Linked DNA regions of Arabidopsis thaliana. The protein of the gene in region 2 interacts with the protein of the main gene of each other region in a pairwise test. Each region holds a gene or a part of one and is shown on either strand. Other genes may lie near its edges. The genes, in order: GSK1 and LBD13.

Region 1 (13,115 bases), on a different chromosome or scaffold from region 2:
AATATTATTTTATGTTTTTGATATTTTTGTGTATTTTTAATAATAAAAGGTTTGGTTTTAGCTATGATTATTTACTGGTCAAATCGAAGGGGCTTAAGACTCTCCTCTGGTTACATTTAAAAGGAATCGAACGACCGTCACCGAGTCGTTGCTTTGCTTCGCTGTCCACAAGTACATGTCATTAAACAACGTACTTGAGGACCAATTGGATTTGTCCGTGACGTAGAAAGAAGGTGACAGCCTCAGTGGTAATAGCACTTCCCTTCCGTTTAGAAAATTTGGATAAGGCTAGTTAGCCAGCCGGACTCGCACTATTGCCAGCTGGCACGAGTACACCAATGAGTCCGTTACGCGCGAGGAGAAGCGCGTGGAGGATCGGACACGTGATATGGAGAAAGAACGTGAGGACGCGTGATGCCGTGTGCGATGCGATGTGTGGACCACTTTTGGGGCTAAAATAGCTAAGTGACTTACCAAACGTGTCTAGGACCTCGTTTTGGACCGTTTGACACGTGTCGAAACAGGGGACGCTTTTGAGCGTGTGGTGAACCAGAGTGATCAAGTGTCATACGTTTTTGTTTTGGATGGTATTCGTTAGTGGAACAGGAATTAATTAAAAATGGAAGCATATGGGAATAGATTTATTTATGGTTAATGTTGGTCTATAAAAAAACAAAGACTACTCCGTATGAAACTAGTTGGTCAAATTAATTGTTGGTTGCACATTGTCTAATATTGTCTTTAATGATTGATTAGTTGTAGGCTTGCAGTTACAACCTCGATAAGATTTTTGTGTTGTCAGATTGTAGTTGTTGTGATTTTTAAAATTGTACCTATATGTGAATAAATATATTGAGAAAACAAAATATATATACATGAGTCTAATTAGGATGATGTTATTGAATTATTGGGCTTTCAAGATTTTCCTTAGTAGAGAGATGGACCAGAAATGTTTTAGCTATTCTTTGTGTATGTTGCATAAGTAACACGATTGTTCGGATGGAGCAACATTATAGTAAGGTGTTATGTGAACCGTAGAAAGTTTCTGAGTAATACATAATTTCAAAAATTTATAATCTAATAAAAAAGTAAACTTGATATTTTTAAAAATCAATACAAATATCTCTAATTTTATAAACTCTCCAGGTTGCTAGCTAAGGAGTAGTAGCTACATTCATTGAAACCCAAACTTAAGAAAATGAAAGTAAATAGTATCTTCATCCTGAAGATAAATTTTAGAAAAGTAGGTGTATACTGTTTATTGTTAATCTTGTTAAATTGTAATTAGAAAACTGTATTAAGTTAAAAATGATTATGTTGTGAGTGGAAGTTGTTAACAATATATGGAGAAGATTTCCTAAAATGTGCAACTAATTAAGCGGAATCATCTTTTTAAAAATTTAAACTTTTTCTGTTCAAAAACAAAAAGAAGAAGAAAAAAGGGTGATTTAGAGCCAACCCGACAAAAGCTTTCATCGTCATCATCTGAATCATTAATTCATTATCATCAAATAATACAGCAGCAAGCAACACAGTAAAACCCAATTCCCTAATCCCAAAATTCGATCTCTCATCTGATGGCTGGTTACAGAGCCGATGAAGAGTACGATTACCTCTTCAAGCTCGTGTTGATCGGCGACTCTGGTGTCGGCAAATCGAATCTGCTCTCTCGGTTCACCAAGAACGAGTTCAATCTCGAATCCAAGTCTACTATTGGTGTTGAGTTCGCTACCAAAACCACTAAAGTCGAAGGCAAAGTCGTCAAAGCTCAGATTTGGGATACTGCTGGTCAAGAGAGGTCAGATTACGTTTCCTCTCTTGCTTTTTTTTTCCTGCTTACTTTATTGAAAATCCTTAGGATAAGGTTTTAAAAAACCATCCTTTTTGGCTCGATTTCGTTGTTGAGTTCTTGTTGGATTCGCTGTTTATGAATTCATGGTGTTTGATTTATGTATCTGAATCTGTAGCCTGATTTGGATATTACAAGTTCAAAGTGTCTTGTTCATTTTTCCTTGTTGGTTTACTAGTTACGACTATTTGTGGCAGAACTAGAGTTTTCTGGTTTTCGGAACGAAACTGGTTGTGTCTGAATTTGTAAATCTCTTAGACTTGAGCAACTTTCAATATGGTTCAGAATCTCAATTGTGCTGAATATCGCTCGCAGGCTGCAGTTTACTCGGAATATACTTTTAGGTTTTATTCACATTTGGGCTACTAATGGTTTTCTTTTGTGGCATAGCTTCTGTGTTTGTAAGATTCTTGTTCATAGATCTGTATCCCTCATATATGGGTCTACTTGATTAGCTTATTCAATCCTCTCCTGTCTAGGTCAATTCCCGTTGTTAAAATGTTGTTTGTAGATATCTGTTATCTAAACCTCGGTTACTATACTAGTATTGTGCTGTTCCATCCGTTTCACACATTGATATTTGTCTGAGCTCGTCTGTGATGAACTTCTGAACCCAATATACTTGTTGAAAACAACATTTCTTTCATCTCCTCTGTCTTGTCTTGCACTAGACATAGATAACATTTTGAATTTTGCAGCAGAATTCTTCATTAACTCTGCGATTGTAACTTTACAAAGTAACCATTTGGTAGATGGATACCATGTAATATGGTTATCGAAAATAGTCTAACTTTGTGTACTTAATCTGTAATGTTACTGAACTTATTATTGTAGTTGTTATTATATCTTTGTTAACAACATCTGAGAAAATGCTGGTTTTGTTTATGCTATGATAGATACCGAGCAATCACAAGCGCTTATTACAGAGGAGCTGTTGGTGCTTTGCTTATTTACGACGTGACAAGGCACGCAACATTTGAGAATGCAGCAAGATGGCTAAGGGAACTAAGAGGACACACAGACCCAAACATAGTGGTGATGCTTATAGGGAACAAGTGCGATCTGCGTCACTTGGTGGCAGTCAAAACAGAAGAGGCTAAAGCCTTTGCTGAGAGAGAATCCCTCTATTTCATGGAGACTTCAGCTCTAGACGCAACCAATGTTGAAAACGCATTCACGGAAGTGCTCACTCAGATCCACAAGATAGTGAGCAAAAGAAGTGTTGATGGAGGAGGAGAGTCGGCTGATTTACCGGGAAAAGGAGAGACGATAAACGTTAAAGAAGACGGATCGGTTCTTAAGAGAATGGGTTGCTGCTCTAACTAGAGTGGGGGGATTGTAGATTTGGCTTGATTTGGTTAGGGTGAGACAACAAATGATAATCTCTTTGGGTCTTGCAATCAAAAAAGAAATAAGAAACGATTACTTTTAAGATCATGTGTATGCTTTGGTAACTTTGGCCTGTAAGGTCCTTTAAAATTTAAGTACATGATTGGTAATTTGTTTTCAACACTCCCACCACTTGTAATTTGTAAACTTGTAATAAACTGAAGAAATGCAAATCATCACCTACGTAACATTTCGAAAATAGATCTAGCGACTTTTAATTTAAGAGGATGATTATTTATCCCTCTAGTCTTTTGTGTTGAGAGAAGAAAACAAAAAAACATCTGTAGCTAATCTTTTGGACATGACATGGTTTAATATTATCACCTCGTTTTTCTTTTGTCTCTACGTATCTGTCAGAATTGTTTTACAGACAAAAACATATACAAAAATACACGAGGAACAGTGTCTCTCTCCACTCTCCAGGCTACGGAATAAAAAAAAAAAAAACGCAATTATCAGCATCTGATTTCTCAAAAAGCTGAATATGACTTTACTACGGGTATAGAAGCTGATAATAGTCGTGGTTAATATACTGTTGAACCTGTCAACTATCAAATAAAAGTAGTAAACCTGCTTTTCTCCTCTTTCTCTTCAGACATGCACAGTTTTTAACTGTTTTGTAATCCTGTGCTCATTTGTCGTCTCACATGCTCAGGTATTAGCCTGTTGATTAGCTCCATTGAAGCTCCACCTAACTGTTTCCACATCCAAAGAACAAATTGGGTTATGTTGAAGTTCCACTAAAGAAACATCATCCTTTGCTATTGATTTTTACCTCTTGTTTGAAATTGAACAATGGCGGTAATGGACGACCATTTGGAAGACGGGCGTTTGGCTCTCGGAGTTCATTGAAAAACGGATGAGCACATGCTTCGAGCTAAAAATAGACAGAGAACAAGACAAATGTTAAAATGAATCTTAGCTTTATCCAACACTTGGAAGATTCAAAAAGAGTTATCACTGACGACTACTTTCGATTATAAAAAAAAGAGGGAGATACTGACCGCAGTGCAGCGTAGACTTGGTGAATATTGAAGAAGCCGAGATGCAAGGTCTATTGCTTCTGGAGGCATCCGTTTATGAAAAACCTGGAGGTCAAGGGTACAGTATATGGTTGATGCTATAAATGAATCGCTTCAATGTATACTGTGTAGGTAATGAGTTCAGTAATTGCTTAACCAGGAACAAAAGGTGAGATGAACTACCTTGTGCCAAGGGTGAGCTTTGATTTGTGGGAACCTAAAATCTGTGTAGTTCGGGTTCATACATCGAATTTCTTCACGAGTTGGAGTACCAAGAACCTAAAACAAGGTAGCAAGTGTACTTATGGTAACATATTTACTAGATTCTAGTCTAATACCAAAGACAAAAAAGAGCACATCCATTAGTCTAATAAAGGAGACTTCACCTTTATGATCTCCACAAGCTGATCAACTGAATTTTCTCCTGGAAATAACGGCTGTAGAGAGAGAGAGAGACTGGCTTAATATAACATTGGGTGCGCACTTTTTGCATTTTGCAGAGACTCTTTATTTAACAAGGTAATTAACGCATAAAAATCCACACTAACCTGGCCCAGAAGAAGCTCTGCCAGTACACAACCAGCAGACCATATATCTATGGATGCTGTATACTCTGTGGCGCCAAAGATCAGTTCTGGAGCACGATAATAACGGGAGCAGATATATGATATGTTTGGTTCACCTTTGACCTAATAGTGAATTACCAAAAATTTAAAAGGGTTACCAAAACAGAGAACATGCTGCTCGCACTTAATGGTATAACTCACACTTATATGGTAGCTCAGTGAACTAGATGCGTAGATACATAACCAAGCCGAAAACACACAAAAAAGGTGAGATAATGAAAAGATAACACCCTTACCAATACTTTTGCACTTCCAAAATCACACAGCTTAACCTGATGGGTCAAGGGATCAACCTACAGTATGCACCAGAAAGTGAGATCCAGAAATAGTCAAGATTACAAACCACATGGCATGCTAGATAACGTACCAAGAGATTTTGTGGTTTCACATCTCTGTGGCAAACACCGGGAACAGTATGGATGTAAGCCAAACCTCTAAAGATCTGCACAATAGATATTTCAAATCAGTTTCAGAGTAAATTCTAATAAATTATAATATTTGTGAGAACTAACTGCAAATAACAGTACATACTTGATATGTGTAAAGCTTGACATAGAAAATTGGCATCCTCTGATTAGAACTAGTATAGTGCCTCAAAACCCGGTATAAAGTCTCAGGTACATACTCCATAACAAGGTTGAGGAAGAGCTCATCTCTACTCGTTGTAGAGAAGAAACAGTGCTTCAAGGAGATGACATTTGGGTGATCCATTGGTCGCATTAGTTGCAACTCACGGTTTTTATAGCGTCGATCTTGCAAGACCTTTTTAATGGCTACTGATTCTCCAGTTTCCAAGCATTTCGCCTAAAATCGTAAATTTCAGACTTGATCAGAAAGAAAGAAGAGAATTTATGTCCTGGAACCGCTAGTACAGAGAAGCACAAAATACCTGAAAAACAATCCCGAATGAACCTGTTCCAACAACCCGCTCAGCCATGTAACTAATGGTCTGTAGGGGACAGAATGAAGATCATGTAAGGGAGAGATGAATTAATTTGACTTGAAAAAGGGTTTTAATGGGAAAGTAACACTTGCTGGAGCATTTGATGCGAAATGAATAACCCAGACCCCGCAGAAACCTTACACATGGTACTGTGCTATAACCGTAAGTGTTAACTACTAGTTAGTTATCTAAGAGATTTTGCAAACATTAGCATCAAACCTGCTTTGGTTCGCCGTTTTTGCCTCCAATAGTAGTGGAAATGATATGACCAGTAACAGCGTCATTTCCCTCAATAACAGCTGCAGACATTTCCTGCAATCCACCTCACATATTAGTATAGACATTAAACTATTTTGATCAACTACAAGGTGGAATAGAGATGGCAAGCATTTACTGCATCCGATTATTTCAACAAACCTCAGGATAGGTATGACTGTATGAGAATGCTGTTATTGCTATTATACAAGTGGTCGGAATTAACTTATATTGAAAACGTGAAGCTAACACATATAAAATGTACCAACTAACCAGTTGTCAAGCCAATAGAAGCACTCAAGCAAGATGCAGAAAGAATAAGAAAAATAAAGTAAAGCATGGGTTAACCAGAGGTAAACAATGGTGATAGAAGTTCAAAAATGTAGTGATTTTAGACGTCAAACAATTTATGGGTATTAGATATAGAACAAAAAAAAAAATCATAGATACAAAATACAAGTCAATGGAAGAAGTTCTGCCAGAGTGAAGGACAAGCCATAAGACAAAATTCAGAATAAATGTCGATGGCAAATAGAAAAGAGAGAGAGACAGAGACAGAGAAGCAATGGGCCAAGAAAACCATAACTAAAGGAATACTCCGAAACCTACCGAGAGTGAATTCAGAGATCTACAAGTAAACTGTACTTTGTAGAATGAACAGTGTTGAAATAAATAATATCCAAACAAGCAAATTGTTGTACTTGAAAGTGAACAGTGTTGAAACAAACAATCGAAATATCCAAAAACAAATATGAAGGGGAAATATTCAACCTAGTTTACTGAAAATGTAAGTTTCCCAAGCGCAAGAAACTATCTCAAATTATTTTACACTAAATTTTTCAACAAGATTCGAAGATTACTGCTACTTAGATCTCCGGTAGAGAAGGTTGAAGTAGTAGCTGGGAGATACCAAGAGTAATCTAGCTACTGCATGCATACAAATGAAGTAAAAATCACAGTCTCCTATCAAAACGCCTCGTCGGAGAAAGAAACAAAAAAACTCTCCGGTGAGCTCAGATCAATACAAGCGACGAACAAACACAAGAGCACGAGAATATAGATCGATTCGACTGAACTAAGACATAGAACAAAGAAAGTAGGAGCTAGATCGGAGTAGATCTAGAACAGCCACCAAACGATAATTTCAAATGCACTGTTTACCAAACACAGACGGTAACAGTAACACACAAAACAAAGAGACGGGGAGAAATAAACCTTATCAGAATCCAATTCAGGACGGCGTTTCAAAGCGTCGCCGTCGTGAAGCTGCAGCGGCGGAGCAAGAGCATGAGGCTGAGGCCCCAATGGTAATGAGGCCATGTGCTTTTTTACTCTTTTCTCTCTCAACCACTGAACAATGAGTAAAGTCTAATTTTTCCTCTCTCTTTGCTTCTAAATTTCAGAAATGGTTCAAAGACAATGGAGGACCCACGGAAGACTAGAGCGCGTGAATGTAACGGTCCAATGAGAAAACTACTTTTTAATTGATAAAGCACTGAAAAATTCTGATAAACACTTCCTTAGCATTTAATGATAACTAAATTACTAAGTTGAGTTAGAACTCCATTAAATATTCTAACTGAATAATAATGGTATCAAATGAATGAATACTCCAATCATATTTCCCAATTTAGATATTAAGCTTAACTTAAAGAGACTTTTCTTTGTCCCTTTAGCCTGAAGTGTTGCCTTTGTAAGACAATAGTTAACGATAGATTCTTTTTCATTACACTAACCAACAAAAGAATTACAGTTAGCATTCATACAAAGATAAAATTTAAGTTGCAAAGGGCTAAAAAAAATGACGATGAGACTAGTTTACGAAAATGTAAGATTAACAAGCAGTAGTGGGGAACGTAAACTATACAAAAATAAGACTCTGAGTCAAAGGGATTGGAAAGTGAAAAGATATATAACCGTTACTGTGATATCGAACAAGAACAATTGTCAAACAAAGAAAGATCAATGGAATCTACCTTTGTGGAGAGTAATTCAATAGAGTAGGAAAACTAATATTCTTTCCAATACATCACCAAAAACCATCTTTTTTAGAGAATTCATGTGACTATATATCTGCATAACAAAAGAAGATACCAGTAAAATCAATCAAAAGACCCACTCATGGAAATTTGTATTAAAACCATCTGTTTCACTCTAATCAATCTAGACAGTTTTGTTCAGTCTAGGCATTATCTTAAACATTACAGCATCACAAATTCCACTAAGAAAACAAACCAAAACTTGTGACTCACTGGAACCAGATCATCCATCAGCTTCTTTAAACAAATTCATCAAGCAACTGATTGATAAACAGGCAATGCCAAGCTCTCAAGTAACTTGAGATGAAACAATTTAACATTCTTCCATCTACCAGGAACTAAATCACCAATCCCATTCATGGCCGCTACAACATTCTCTGCAATCTCGTTCCTTCCCATTGACAACTTCGCTACTTTAACAACACTGCAAGTACCTGTACCAACGAAGAACAAAGCTGATTCACAAGCTTTTTCGATCTGCTCTTTCCAACTACCATGCCTTAAGTTAATCGCAATCGGAGTCTTATTCTTCTTAACAAACTCTTTCCCCAACAGCTTCGGCAACATCGGCATTAGCCTCCTCTCCGCGAAATACAACTCGAATCGCTTCTCCTCCTCTAATTTGCGTAAATCGGATTTCAATTTGGAGACTTTAATAACTGTGGTGATTGGAATCTTCTCTGCTTCGATCTTCTTCAAAGCCGCTTCCTTTGTGATTTTGTTCTTGTGTTTGTCGTCGATGATCAAACAGAGCTCCGGCGGATCTTCGGCGACCAGATCGATGAGAGGATGAGGAAGAGGGATCATCAAGGGGTTAGTACGATCCAACTGAGGGATTCTCTTCAGTGTCACGATTAGATAGACGAAACCGTCGTTCTCGAGTGATTCAGAGTTCTCGGTCTTGGATTTGGAGTCCCACCATTTTAGCAGAGACTTCACGGCTCTGTTAACGTTCTGCGGGTCAACCTTCGACTGGTGTCGCTGCGGAAGTGCAGCCGTAGTAGTAGTAGTACTCATTCTCCGGTGAGAAGACGGCGCAATGAACACAGGTTACGTTTGCGGAATTAGGGTTCTGAGCAAAAATTATAGGGTTTACGATTTTTTTCTTTTTTTTTTCTTCTTTCGACATTTTATTCGATTTTTTTTTTTGTAAAACTCAAAAATTATATGCGTTTTATTAATGATGCGCCACTTTATCCTTTTTTCTGGGGGTAAAATTGTCATCTGCTCAATCGTTTTCTCTGACCGCCGGCGAAACTCTTCGCGCTTCCCCGACTGCCGGCGAAAATCGACGCTGCTTCCCGTTTCCGGTTAATTAAGAGCTTTCCTCTGTACCTCTTCAACTCATTGTAGGCTGCGTCTTCTTCAATGGCAACAAGGAAGCGGAAGAACGCTGATTCGTGTAGTGACGCTCTTCTAAATCAGAGCGAATTCGATCTCCGAGGCAGATATTCTTATTCAATTATCTCAATCCCTTGGCACCGTATTCTGGTAATGTTTCCAAAATAAAGATAAATTGCAATCGCTTTAATTTTCTGATTTTGTGGTGAGTGATTGAACCTGTGTCAATTCTATGCTGCTGAGTGTTTCTCAGGTTGATCATAATGGATAGGTGCGCCGTGCGGTCATTTGACATTGCGTCCCATTGTATAAAGTTCTTCATGTGACGGGCCTTGATACTACTTCCTACGTAATGGTCAGTATACTTCTTCATTATTTTACAAGAAATCTTGAATTGTGGTATTAACAATGTGTTGTTACTTTTGCAGATGATGTAAAAGCTTTTTTGGTCTACTAAGAAGATAAAATTAGAACCTGTTAATATTGATTTTGAATATAGGCTTCTCCAAAATCTGATGTTACTGCAATTCCAATAAGATTTGCCTAGGTTAATGACGAACAAAGTGAAGCCAGCTCACCATTACACTATGTTGATAGTTCCTAGTTCCTACTATGTTGAGAGGTTGATGTAACCGGAAGTGAGTTAGAGATCCCAGATCCCTCTGTTTCCTCTTTATTCGTTTTTGCATTTTAACTCTGCAGCTGTATTCTTTAATGTTAGTTTTAATGTTTTGTATTGAACATTTCATTGCGCTTACTAGCTTCTGCTGTGTTAGGTCTTTGGTCCTCGGTTTCACCTGTCTGTTGGACCGTATGATATGCTGCTCATGGGTCATTGTGCCTCTCAATTTTCTGAAGCTTCCTCTCATCCGGTGGAGACTATTACGGAACTCGCTCATGGCACTGGTACTATTTCCTGTCATGCTTTTCACTTTCACACTTTTTTTCATTGCGGGAATTATCAAGTCTACAAATCAAAAGCTTTTATCTCTTATCCAATGGATCTTAGCAGATATATACAGCATACTCTGCCATAAGTAATTCAGGTAATATGGATGTACTTGAATAAATGTAAACTACACATGGGAACATCTTTTCATTGTGAATTATGTTTTCCATGTCGTTTACTCTGATTATGAATGACAGGTTTGTGCTGCCTGTGTTACCCATAGCTTTGATATTCTCTGGGTATACATTTGCTCAAATGGAAGCATCTGATTTATCATCAATCATTAAAGAGAAGCAAGTCCCTGGAAATAACCATATCATCAAGTGGTCTCCTAAACTAAGACTTCCAGTCTTCATTTTGCCTGCTACCAATATCCCGAGGCACTACACATGAGTTTATTCTATCAAGTTAAAAAACTAAACACTCTAGTTTATGAGTTACTCTCTTTTTCTTTCTTTCTAATTGTGCTAAAAGGAATTCTTGTTTTCTCAATGGACACGAACCAAGGATGCGATGTACAGACTTATCGGAAAAAAGGATACAAAGGGAGAGTAAAGAGCATTCTCTCTCTCATGCCAAGCCATTCGACTCCTTATTATTATTATTCCACTCTCCATAGTAACATTCCAATGCGATTTCTCGACTACACACCAAGGTAAATGGATCACGCCCCTGAGTCACAGTTTTTGCTTCTATGCGATTCTTAAGGATTCTTCTTCTTATTATTTTGAAACAGCGAAGACATTAGGAGATTTTGATGAGTCAGACCAATTCTTAATGGACCTTTTAGGATTGGCATCAAAGTTAGCTAGAAATTGGCCAGCACGACCGCGTCACATATTATTGTTTGCATCGGAAGCAACAAAACTCAGAGGTTTTATGATCCACTATTCCTTCCAAGAGGCAAGTTGAAAAGCAGGACCACCATTTTTTTCCAACGCTGATGTTATTCGTTTAGTAGACTAAAATCTGTTTTGTTGGCAATGAAACAGGTCAAAAGTTTTTTCCACACACATTTCAAGGTTTATAGATACATCAAATCAATCCCCACTAGTCATCTATGCTAAAAAATACTGACTCGGTCTAACTTCGCGTGTAGCTTTTTTTTTTTTTTTCCTGTTACCAAAAAACACCTTGATGTTATGGTGTTTCTGTCTGAACCACATGAATGCACTAGTTGATCAGGTCGGTACACAAGTTAAAAAAACGAACTCAACGAAAATGTCAAAAATTCTCAATTATTCTATTTGAGTTTTATTTTGAATCTGTTTTACTCTCTTAGATCATATGTTCGAGTTAAGAGCTTTTAATTTATAGCCCCGCGAAGTTTCATGATCAAATCTCAACAACTTTCAACATCAGAACCCAAGAAAAAATAAATCATGTTTTGGATCAAGGAACGTTTGTTGATTCTCATATATGTCTGGTTTTCCTTAGGGATTGATGCCCACACGGAAATTAAGTTGTCTATCTACCACAAAAAAAAAAAAAAAAAAAGGTAGCTACCACATTAAATTTCTCTGGTTACGTACAATCAATGTTAAAAGATTTGTTGTTTCAATGTAGCTAGGTCTCACCTATATATGGATTCCTATACGGGGTTTTTACATACCGTATATACTGTTTTGTGAGTTTGAACTTAATACTAATTGACAATATTTATATATTAACCCACGTACGTTTTTATATTTCATGCTACTGCTATAGAGATTTCATCATTAGCAATATGAAATACCATTCTTCAATGTTTAATTATGAATTTATGATCAATCAAAACTGTGTACTTGCAATACAATACGATTTAACAACGCTAAGTGATGTGACATTATAACTGTGGATCCATCAGATATATCGAAAACAACAGTCCTGCAGATCGTATTTTTTGTGGGATTGACTAGTTTCTTGTAGATTAACATATTGCTGGAAATTTAATTTTAACTAGTTTATAGTTTGTTTTGTCCCAAAAAAAAAAAAAAAAAACTAGTTTATAGTTTGTTACGTTGAATATTATAAGTTTAATCGATATTATCGGATCTGTAGAACGCTAAGCATTATGAATGCCGTAAAACGAATCTTTTTATATAGATGCGCATTCAATTATTTTTCAATGCGGTGAGCGTAGGGCAGTTTGGTAGTTAGCAAGACTCATAACCTGCGGCCACACAGGTTCAAATCCTGTCCCCACAACAACATTGTTTTCTAGATTCCATCATGGTTACTACACTAATAAAACGAGTGACGAGAACTCTTAACATTGTATTGAAAATTAACTTCTTTTGACACTAATAAAACAATCTTATACAATTTTCATAATTAGAGGTAATTAAAATTAGATATAATGTGTTTACTAACAGTGTTGTATTTATTTCATATATAATATTAGTTATATATATTTCTTTAGTTACTATAAGTATATATGGAAAATGTTCCTTTTTAATTAAGAATACTTGTGGTTCTACTTTTTCGTGTCTCCAATCTCTAATATTACTATACTATATATAGAAGCTTTAAAGAAGCATTGTAAGACACAACCACAACAGACAGAATTCAAGTGCATTTCCATGTGACACCAAAGGAAGTTGCCCTTTTTGAAAATATCACTAGTTTCCTATAAAGTTTTTTTCTTTTTTCCCTTTTCTTTTGATTCCGATATATATACGACCTTTTTTATTTTAACTTTTAACATTTAACTACAAAATTGA
Region 2 (10,699 bases):
TTCACCACTCGTGGGACCCTGCCTTGCTTACGATCTCGATCGAGTGGTAATATTAGCCCCCACGGTGCACGTTAACGTATGACAGGCTCTTGGAACTTCTCAATCTCTCTGCCCTTTTTGGTAATGTGCGTAGCGCTTTTTCCGGAGCGGTTTTCCCGCGTCTTGTCTCACATCCCCAACCCTGTCTTAAAAATGTTTTTTACCTAAACTGCGCATTTTAACAATAATATGCGTATGTCAGCATGAAATCGCACGTTAGTAACGCAGTCCTCTCACTATCTTATGTTGATAGCAGCTGAAATTGAGTTCACTAGAAGATACTAATTATTGAACGTTAATTAGAAAATACTAATTATTCTTGATTAACCATATTGTTTGGTTTGTTTTACTAGATGTATTATCCTAATGAAGAAAATAATAAATTAGGATATGTATACGTTTGAATATATATTTAGTAATGAAAAATGTGATAATATGTACGTTTTGAGTATGTGTTCAGGAGGAAGGCAAGAGTACCGTAGTGATAAAGAAGACTAGGAAGATCGGTGACCGGAGCAAGGAGGCAGAGCTACGGAGGATTCTAAGGGGATTGGGCTCATCTCCACCACGGTGCTCCTCCAAGTGTGGAAGATGCACTCCGTGCAAGCCTGTTCACGTTCCGGTGCCTCCCGGCACGCCTGTCACCGCCGAATACTACCCGGAAGCTTGGAGATGCAAGTGCGGCAACAAGTTGTACATGCCATGATCTTTTATAATATATATACTCACATATATACATTATATATATGAATTATATGCATGTTCGTAGTTATATCTTGCCTCTACTCCAAATATTTATTATACATTGACATGTTGCTAGGACAACCTCAACGTGAAACTTTTGCTGATAAATTGATTGATGATGCTCGTATAGACGATATGACGTTCTTAGCATATGATTTCGTATATGGTGACATAATTCATGAATAATATCAACATTTGGTGTCAAAAGGAAACATATTTCTTGTCTTCTTCTTCAACGTACTTGCTTATAATGAACAAAAAATAAAAAAACGTACTCGCTTTCTAATAAGTATCACATAGGTTTAGGCTCATAAACATATGGACTAACATAAATAAACCAAAAGCCCAATAACATTACTCTTAGCATATACATATAAGTAAACTATTAACATCTGTCTGCGGGACTCGTTGATTTCATTTAAATTCTGTAGTCTCAGCTCGTTCAATTTAATCTATTCGTACACACTGATAATATTCAAGAAAACATATGCTAACGTATAACGTATTACGTATCCAAATACACCTTACACCACTCACACATAGCCCATATATAAAAGTTTGAAGGATTTAAAGTCGCAGACTCGCGGTCATTTTTTTTCTTTAAAGTCGCAGTCATTGACTGACTGATTCTTCTTTCTTATTGAAAGGTTTTTTATGTAAAGACGAAAGTTTAATCAGGATGTGAATATGGTACGGCCCATGTTCTTTATTCCTTTTTTTTTTTTTGGTGCAAAGTTCTTTCTTATTCTATGTTAGAAAAATAATCAAATTACCGACGCGAGCAAAGGTTATTATTTCCTGGCTATTAGTCTATAACTGATAAATAATTAGTCAATCAGATCAAACAATAGAGAAATAATTAGTCTGCAATCAGCGATTATTAAAAAATAAAATAAAATAGAAACATATCTCAGCACCGATTTTTCAACAGCCGGCCCACGATCCAGAACCGTCCAGCTTGAAGCCGGCGCCGCGTCGACTTGTTCCACCGTTCGGATATTGCCACGTGTGTGAGAGACACCTGCCATTACCTCGTGGAACATGTTTTGTTAGTATAAGTTACTAACCAAGTCGCTATCTTCAATTCTTCATTACCTAAGAGTTGAATAAAAAAACAACCATATACGATGAGACACGCAAATAACTGATATACGAAACAATTATTTATTGATGTACATTCTTCTAACTATAATACTACAAGATTCTGAATAGTTTTAGATGTAAAAAGTACGAGAAGAGTTATGATCAGAGTAAGTTAAGTGATAAGATCATGACACGTAGGCAGAGGAAATAAAGTAGAAACTATCGACAACATAATAATTGAGTGAGTACAAAAACCACGTAATAATTAGGTGTACACTGTAGTCTGTAGATCGATTGTACAAAATGAAAAAACTATATGATTTAAGGAACTAGATATACATATGCATCGACTCAAGAACAGTTGCTTTATGTGAAGACTATCAATTACATTATCGGCTAAATTTGGCTTCATGTGTTGAATAGATGGATTGTGTGCTCAGGTAGTTGTGTCAGTTAATTATAACAGTAAACCTTCACTGCTTCACATATATAAAATTTGGGTTAAAAAAACTTTAACATTTTATTTTTTTAATTGACAACAAACAAATTCTGTAACGGTTACATATAATAGTGCTTCAGTTAAACTCCTTTTTTAGGCAACTCTAATTCCTTTATACCCTTAATCCATTATTATTCTATCGAACTTATCTTTTTAAAAGCTTCCGCGTTACGCCATCACTTCTCCACCATTTAAATACCTAAACCACTTTCTTTCAAATTTCTTATTCCATAAAAAGTAAATTCACAACAAAACCAAAAAAAAAAAAAGAGAAGAAGAATTAGCTTACGTGTTCATCACATCTGCATTACGCGCAAACGAAACAGATTCAAATTCTCCGGCGAAGTTTTCTTATTCATCAATCAATCTCTGGATTCATCAATCATGCCAGAGATCGAGATTGCCGCCGGCAGCGGCGACAACAACGACGCCTTATTCGGTAAATATGAGCTCGGAAAGCTTCTCGGATGCGGCGCATTCGCCAAAGTCTTCCACGCACGTGATCGTCGTACCGGCCAAAGCGTCGCCGTGAAAATCCTCAACAAGAAAAAACTCCTCACAAATCCAGCTCTAGCCAACAACATCAAACGCGAGATCTCAATCATGAGAAGATTATCTCATCCAAACATCGTCAAGCTCCACGAAGTAATGGCGACAAAATCAAAGATCTTCTTCGCAATGGAGTTTGTTAAAGGAGGAGAACTATTCAACAAAATCTCAAAACATGGACGTCTTAGCGAAGATTTAAGCCGGAGATATTTCCAGCAACTGATCTCCGCCGTTGGTTATTGCCACGCTCGCGGTGTTTACCACCGCGATCTCAAACCAGAGAATCTATTAATAGACGAAAACGGAAACTTAAAAGTTTCCGATTTCGGTCTAAGCGCGTTAACGGATCAGATCCGACCCGATGGGTTGTTACATACCTTGTGTGGTACTCCGGCGTACGTTGCGCCGGAGATTCTATCTAAAAAAGGATATGAAGGTGCTAAAGTTGATGTATGGTCTTGTGGAATCGTCTTGTTCGTTCTCGTCGCCGGTTATTTACCGTTTAACGATCCGAATGTGATGAATATGTATAAGAAGATTTATAAAGGAGAGTATCGTTTTCCTCGTTGGATGTCTCCAGATCTGAAACGATTCGTTTCTCGTCTTTTAGATATTAATCCTGAGACTAGAATCACCATTGATGAGATTTTGAAAGATCCTTGGTTTGTTAGAGGAGGTTTTAAACAGATCAAGTTCCACGATGACGAGATCGAAGATCAGAAAGTGGAATCGTCACTAGAAGCTGTGAAGAGTTTAAACGCGTTTGATTTGATTTCTTACTCGTCGGGATTGGATTTGTCGGGATTGTTTGCTGGTTGTAGTAATTCGAGTGGTGAATCGGAGAGGTTTTTATCGGAAAAGTCGCCGGAGATGTTGGCGGAGGAAGTGGAGGGGTTTGCGAGAGAGGAGAATCTGAGGATGAAGAAGAAGAAGGAGGAAGAGTATGGGTTTGAGATGGAGGGGCAAAATGGGAAATTTGGTATCGGGATTTGTATTTCGCGGTTGAATGATTTGCTTGTGGTGGTGGAGGCACGGCGGAGAGGTGGTGATGGTGATTGTTATAAGGAGATGTGGAATGGTAAACTCAGGGTTCAACTTATTCGCGTTTGCGATCAGACGTCGTCAACAAACGCGGCTATTTAAAAGAACGCTATGAAGTTTTCTACCGTGCTTTCAATTTTAAAACGCCAATCGCGTTTCGTTGGTTGGATTTGGTTTCTACTACTTTTGTTTCGGAATTAAAAACAGAGAAAAAATAATAAAAATTAATGTATGTATTTAAATACTGTACCAAATTGTAGGTATCTATTTTGTGCTTTTTGATCAATGTGTTACTATGTACAACAACAAGTCTAAAATTGCATTTGTAGATACTTCACTCTTTTGTATAATGTAGAAAATGTTCTTCTATTTATAGTTTGGATTTTCCAATTTTACACATTTGTACATAACTACTTTTTAAAATCAACCATGCAAATTGTATTAAGTTAAAGTGCATGATAACCAAATCAGATTAATAACCAATGAATTGAAAATAAAAAGTAGATAAATTACTAAAATAAAATAATCTCTAAATCGCATAAACTCATCTAAACTCTCAAAAATCCATACATTACACATTTTTTTTTTTTTCAAAAAGGCTTTCAATTCTATACATTTTTCTGCTTATCAAATATGGCTTCTTCACTTTAATATTTATGTATAGAATTGAAAGCATTTTTGAAAGAAAAACTTTGTGTAATGTATTATTGAACAAATGAAATGATTGAAATGGGAGTTCCACATCCAGTGAAGAAAAAGCATTAAAAAGTATGTATAGAATCAGGGAACTTCAAAAATTGAAATCTGCAGCTTTATAAAAAGAAAAGCTATTATTGTCTACTTGATTGGATATTACAACTCAAAACGAGTGAAGGTTAAGGAATCATTATCATTATTAAAGCATCATCATAAGCACCAGCCTTTTGTTATTCTTCTCATCATTTGTTTGGCCAATTTAAAATTTTAATTAATATCATCTCACCATAGTTTCTGCCCACCTTTTGGTTTTAGGTGCAAATGGAAAAACTCTGGCAAATTAGGTTGTTTGGTGTGAATTAGGAAAGTAGAATGCTTATTGAATATTCTTGACTATATCTAAACTCTCTTTATTCACTTGGGTGATTTCCTCATAAAAATATTATTGTACCAAACTCTCTGAAATCAAAGTTTACTATATAGCTAAAATAAAAACCAAAAACTCTACTAAACCAAAGTTAAGAATAAATTCTTTATTAGAGACAAACTCAAAATTGAAAACCATCATTTATTGTATCTGAAAAGTAAAAAGAAAAAGAGGATATAATATGAGGAGAGATTATTTGAAAGCTGAAATTTTAGTTGCGGTAAAATTTGACATAAGTGAGCAAATTTTATAAGCTCTAAAATCAATAGGAGACCTATCACGGTATCACTATCATGATGGGTAACAATGTCATGTGAACCAAGTAAAACAAAATACAGTATAGGAAATGAATTATAAAAAATTGGGCCATTATAAAATTGGGTCATTGAATACAGTGGGCCTTAATCATACATTTCGGCCCATTCTCATCCTTAAGAGATAAAACGGATTTTTTAGTGTAATAATCTGTCGTCTTCAACGGTCGAATTGAATCCAAGAGATATGAGAGAGAAAAGGGGAAATCGGAAAGCCCTAGATCCCGTCGGTGAGGATGGAGTCACCGGAAAAGATGGAAAAGGCTTCTTCGCCTGTTATCTCTTGACCTCTCTTAGCCCTCGTCATAAGGGTCAAACCTATATCGGGTACTTGTTTCTCTCATCTCTGATTTTGGAATTGAAGATTCTGTTGGATCAAATTCGATTGAGAAAGGATTTACATTTTCTGGGTTTATCTGATTGAATACTTAAATTTGATCAAATAGGAGATTTTGAGTGTTTAATAATCAGACTATGAGATGTTTAGTGATTGATTGCATAAACTGGGTTTGGTTGGTAGGTTCACTGTAAACCCGAGGCGGAGAATAAGGCAGCACAATGGAGAGATCACTAGTGGTGCTTGGAGAACAAAGAAGAAACGTCCATGGGAAATGGTTCTCTGTATCTATGGTTTCCCCACCAATGTCTCTGCCCTTCAGGTCCTTTTGCTACCCTAAAGCAAAAGATTCCTTGCCAAAAGATTCTGTTTTTACTTCTTTTGTTCTCCAGTTGTGGCCTCGCTCTTGAATGTTTTGCTAACGTAAAAAAAACCTTTTTGCAGTTTGAATGGGCTTGGCAGCATCCGAGAGAATCGGTTGCAGTTAGAGAAGCTGCTGCGGCTTTCAAATCCTTCTCTGGGGTTGCTAGTAAGATCAAGCTTGTATATACAATGTTAAATCTTCCAGCTTGGAATAGGTAAGGAAGCTTCTTGTTGTTGTTGCTATGCTTTGGTATCCATTTTCTTATAACTTATATGTCTCTTTGTGTCTTGTTGATCAGTTTGAACCTCACGGTTAATTATTTCTCGTCAAAGTATGCACACCACGGTGGTAAATCTCCAAGTTTACCTTTACATATGAAAGTTCAAGTTTGTGCTATGGAGGATCTTCAGTATTTCACAAAGGTAGATGACAGTTCTCAACCCGAAGATGAAGAGAGTCCCGAGGTTAATGAAGAGGATGATGATGATGATGATGATGATAGTAGCAACCTAAGCCAGCCTGGGAATTCAAATACAAGCTCATCGGATGACCGGCATTTTGAAAAAGCGAAAGAACCTGTAACTGTATTTGATGAAGAAGACAGATTAGCAAATTTCAGTGGTTTTGGCTTATTAGATGAAGAAGAGACTGTTGAAGATGAAGTATCACATATCACTGTTGGATCCATTAGAGCTACTGAGAAAGAACCCGAGACTGTATTCAATGACAGATTAGCAAGTTTCACTTGTTTTGGCTTAGTAGAGATTGTTGAAGATGAAGTATCACATGGAACTATAGGATCCACTGAAGCTATGGAGAAAGAGTGTAGGAAAAGAAGGAACCATATCACCTCAACGACGACTGAGGTTGATGTAGAGGTGATAGATCTGATGACTCCATCACCAAGCTGCAGAGCTGGATCATCTATGAAGAGACGAAGAGTTTCTGAGTTTATAGATTTGACTATGTCTCCTAATTTCATAGAGTCGTAGAAGTAATACACGAGAATTTGTGTGAAAATCAAAATCAACTTTGTTGTAATTTTCTTTTATATCTAATAAAAGATTTCAAACCTTTTGAATCTGAGTCTCTCATCTTCTTCCAAGAGCCTATTCATGAATCGTTTTTTCGTAATTTCTAACTTACGTCGCAAAACTTAGGTTCTTAAACGACACTTAATTTAAAACGGGGGAGTATGTATTTTGTGTTAGTGTATATCTGTTGTCACTTTATGATTTCAAAAGTATAATGAATATTGTTGTTGATTAAGAAAGAAAAATCCATATTGTTAGTCTCCAAATCTCCATTATTGCGTAATCTAAAGTTACTTAGTGGTGCTTTCTAGTTTCTAGTTGCACCAATTAAGATTCACCTCAACTTTTGGTTCTCAACAGAATTGACACAACTTCTGCGAATACATGTTATAACAAGGCAACAAACCCTTTCGTAATAATACTATTTCATAATTATTTTAGTTCCAAGATATATGTCCACATGAACATCAACATTTACACTTGAGAAAAGGAAAATTCGTTTACCGATTATCGAAGAGTGTGAAATTGATGAGATCGGCAGTGTCCACATGTTCTCGATGTTGATTGTTGACTTTATATTTTTGTTCAGTCATGCATATCAAAACGTGAGCGTACTTGACACTAGAGAAAAAGAAAATTAGCACGAACAATAGTTTTGCAATCATGGTCAATGATTTAAACTATAAACTAGTTAAGCATTTAATTTGGGGTTTTAGATGTAAACATCCTTCACGTGCAATCACATGTCCAATAGTATGCATTTCTTTCTTCTTTTGTAACCATTGTCTTTTGTATATATATCGTGTTAGATTTTTTCTACAGCTTGACATATTTCACATTTAGTAGCAACTAACACGTGAAGAGGTTGACCAAAGATAAAACAACGAAAAAAGTTCGTTGTCGCCCATTTTAACATATAAAATGAGTAATATTTATAGCACCAAAATTAGTCTTTTTAAGGATTAAAATTTATTTTCTACGGGTACTATTGCTAGTTGCTACGTTTAAACCATAATCTGATTGAGTCTGATCAAATCGGTATGGTTCATCGTGATTGTAGAAACCTTGTGCTTGCTCAAATACAAGGACTGGTACAATTGCGCAATGTTTTGTTTAAGTTTTTTTTTTTAATCTTCAACTAACTTTCTTTAACCACCTACTCTAATGTTTATATATATTATGAATGTTTTGATCGTGGGTCGACCTTATTTAAATTAAATCACCAAAAAAGCTATATTATTATGGTCTTCTTCAACCACATATCTTTTAGTATCGATTGTTGTATTTTTTAGTAACAACATGCAATATACAATAACAAAAGTTACAAAACTTACATATATAAACCATTAAGCTACAAAATTTTGGTCCGATACTACTTATGATCTGTTCCAAATCTCGAGCTTACTCATAACTCGAATATTGATAATTAATACCTTAACGTACAAGAGCAGGACAGTAAGACTTCTTTAAACATATAGTATACAATATAATTAAGTATAGAAGTCTATAGATTTTCCCTTTTAAATAAAGAAAGATCATTTAATTCACCCTAATGACTCTCCTTATTAAAGAAACTCTTCTTCTTCTTCCTTGCTTCTCTTCCTCCTCCTCCTCCATTGATACTCTAAAATAAACTTATAAATAGCATGCGTGAATGTCCCGAGAAAGGTAAAACTAAATCAACATATATACATCTATTTACGATCTTTTTGATTGATAAATCAAATCGGTGGTGGTGAAAATGATTGGAAACAACAGGGAAGGATTTGGAGAGTACTACGAGACCGTCAAGAAGATAAAGAAAGATCCAGCCTTCGAGACAACGACGGATCATGCCGTGATGGGAATCAGGAGACATGTGGCGGTGCCTCCGGGGACAACGTTGAACACCGTAACACCATGCGCCGCTTGTAAGCTCCTCCGCCGTCGTTGTGCGGAGGAGTGTCCTTTCTCGCCTTACTTCTCGCCGCATGAACCTCACAAGTTCGCTGCCGTTCATAAAGTCTTTGGTGCAAGCAACGTCTCCAAGATGCTTCTGGTACACATATTTTCTACATTAATGAATATTTATTTTCTTTTCTTAGTTAAGGTTTCTTAATTTGATTACTCTTTTGATATCGTATTTGATTAATCTGAATATATAGTTGAACGGATCTACCATTTTTGATATTTGACTCTTTCCAAATATATTCAAAACATATATTTATCCCATTTGTTATAGTCGAGGTGGTTTATCTAACTAGTATAGGTAGAAATTCATTATCCTAAGATGCACATACATACTAAGATTGAGTATTGGTAAGTTATTTACTTTTCGTACATAATATTTGATTGAGCTATATGTATATTAACTTATGGAATAAGAAAATGTTGTAGGAAGTGGGAGAGAGCCAAAGAGGAGACGCAGCAAATAGTTTAGTATACGAAGCAAACCTAAGACTTAGAGATCCAATCTACGGTTGCATGGGAGCAATCTCAGCTCTTCAACACCACATTCAGTCTCTTCAATCCGAACTCACGACCGTCCGTACGGAAATCCTACGCCACAAATACCAAGAAGCCACCACCATCACTTCTCTCCAAAACAACTTCAACAGCACTACAACAACTTCATCAGTGAGTTGTGATCAGCATGCTCTCGCCTCGGCGATTCTCCTCCCACCACCACCGCCACCACCTCCTACTCCACGACCACCAAGGTTGTTGTCCTCTCAGCCAGCTCCACCGCCTACGCCACCCGTTTCTTTGCCATCTCCGTCCATGGTTGTGTCGTCCTCTTCATCTTCTAATTCATCTGCCACCAATTCTATGTATAATCCTCCTCCATCTTCGACGGCTGGATATAGCAATTCTCTGTCCAGTGATAATAATGTTCATTACTTTGATTAAATCAGAATTCTGTGTTCCTTAATTTTTTTAAAATACTATTATAGCCCTTATTATAAGCTACGAGATTGAATGGTGATCCATGTTAAAGATAGGGTTTTCAACTTTTGATTTATTTTATTTTTCATATTGATTAATGGGTTCCATTACCATACTAACGTACGTAAATACAATGGTAAAGAATCTTAGTATCATGAGGGTATTACTCATGACTCATATGACAATTTTAGTAACCAACACGAAGTTGAAAAAACATTTACACAAAATAACACAATTCCACATTAAATCAGAATCAGAAATCTAACATATTGTTAGTCCTGAAAATTGAGAAATTCTACTAATGAAATTATGAGCTTATAATTATTAAATTACATGAGAATTAACATTAAATGGAGGCGTTGACTAAACATATAAATTTGGCAACGAGCATTCCCACGTACCTCTAATTGTCATTAATATATAAATATTAAATATAGTTTTTAATTAAAGGTATTAATTGATCAATTAATTAATCATAACCCAAACAGAATCTATTTATATCCCATAACAGAGTTCCAGAGTCACCACATGACGCAATTACATACATATAGTACTAGTATTTCTTGATTACACAGTGTCCCACAAGCTCTTAATAATTTACATTAATGTTTCTTAATCTCAACCATTACCTACAGGCTACAGCTCAT

The links.
Region 1: the proteins of LBD13 (region 2) and GSK1 interact in a two-hybrid assay, tested with the Arabidopsis thaliana proteins (one large-scale study listed by BioGRID).

The regions. Positions count from the first base shown.
Region 1 is NC_003070.9:1,941,149-1,954,263, reverse strand, and holds GSK1 (GSK3/SHAGGY-like protein kinase 1), read right to left. Parts: upstream 7,519-13,115; 5' UTR 7,405-7,518; coding exon 7,300-7,404; intron 6,142-7,299; coding exon 6,049-6,141; intron 5,836-6,048; coding exon 5,776-5,835; intron 5,691-5,775; coding exon 5,418-5,690; intron 5,329-5,417; coding exon 5,254-5,328; intron 5,180-5,253; coding exon 5,123-5,179; intron 4,950-5,122; coding exon 4,809-4,949; intron 4,698-4,808; coding exon 4,647-4,697; intron 4,540-4,646; coding exon 4,444-4,539; intron 4,327-4,443; coding exon 4,243-4,326; intron 4,116-4,242; coding exon 4,014-4,115; intron 3,934-4,013; coding exon 3,847-3,933; 3' UTR 3,414-3,846; downstream 1-3,413. Other genes in the region: ARA-2 (Ras-related small GTP-binding family protein), read left to right, coding at 1,578-1,798, 2,746-3,175; AT1G06380 (Ribosomal protein L1p/L10e family), read right to left, coding at 8,376-9,140. UniProt on the Arabidopsis thaliana protein: Phosphorylates BSK1, BSK3, BSK5, BSK6, BSK8 and BSK11 in vitro. May mediate extracellular signals to regulate transcription in differentiating cells.
Region 2 is NC_003071.7:12,930,623-12,941,321, reverse strand, and holds LBD13 (LOB domain-containing protein 13), read left to right. Parts: upstream 1-8,493; 5' UTR 8,494-8,781; coding exon of another isoform or gene 8,782-8,795; 5' UTR 8,796-8,868; coding exon 8,869-9,165; intron 9,166-9,503; coding exon 9,504-10,016; 3' UTR 10,017-10,150; downstream 10,151-10,699. Other genes in the region: CHAL (allergen-like protein), read left to right, coding at 1-46, 500-745; SIP4 (SOS3-interacting protein 4), read left to right, coding at 2,750-4,057; AT2G30350 (Excinuclease ABC, C subunit, N-terminal), read left to right, coding at 5,580-5,719, 5,913-6,051, 6,174-6,307, 6,392-7,085.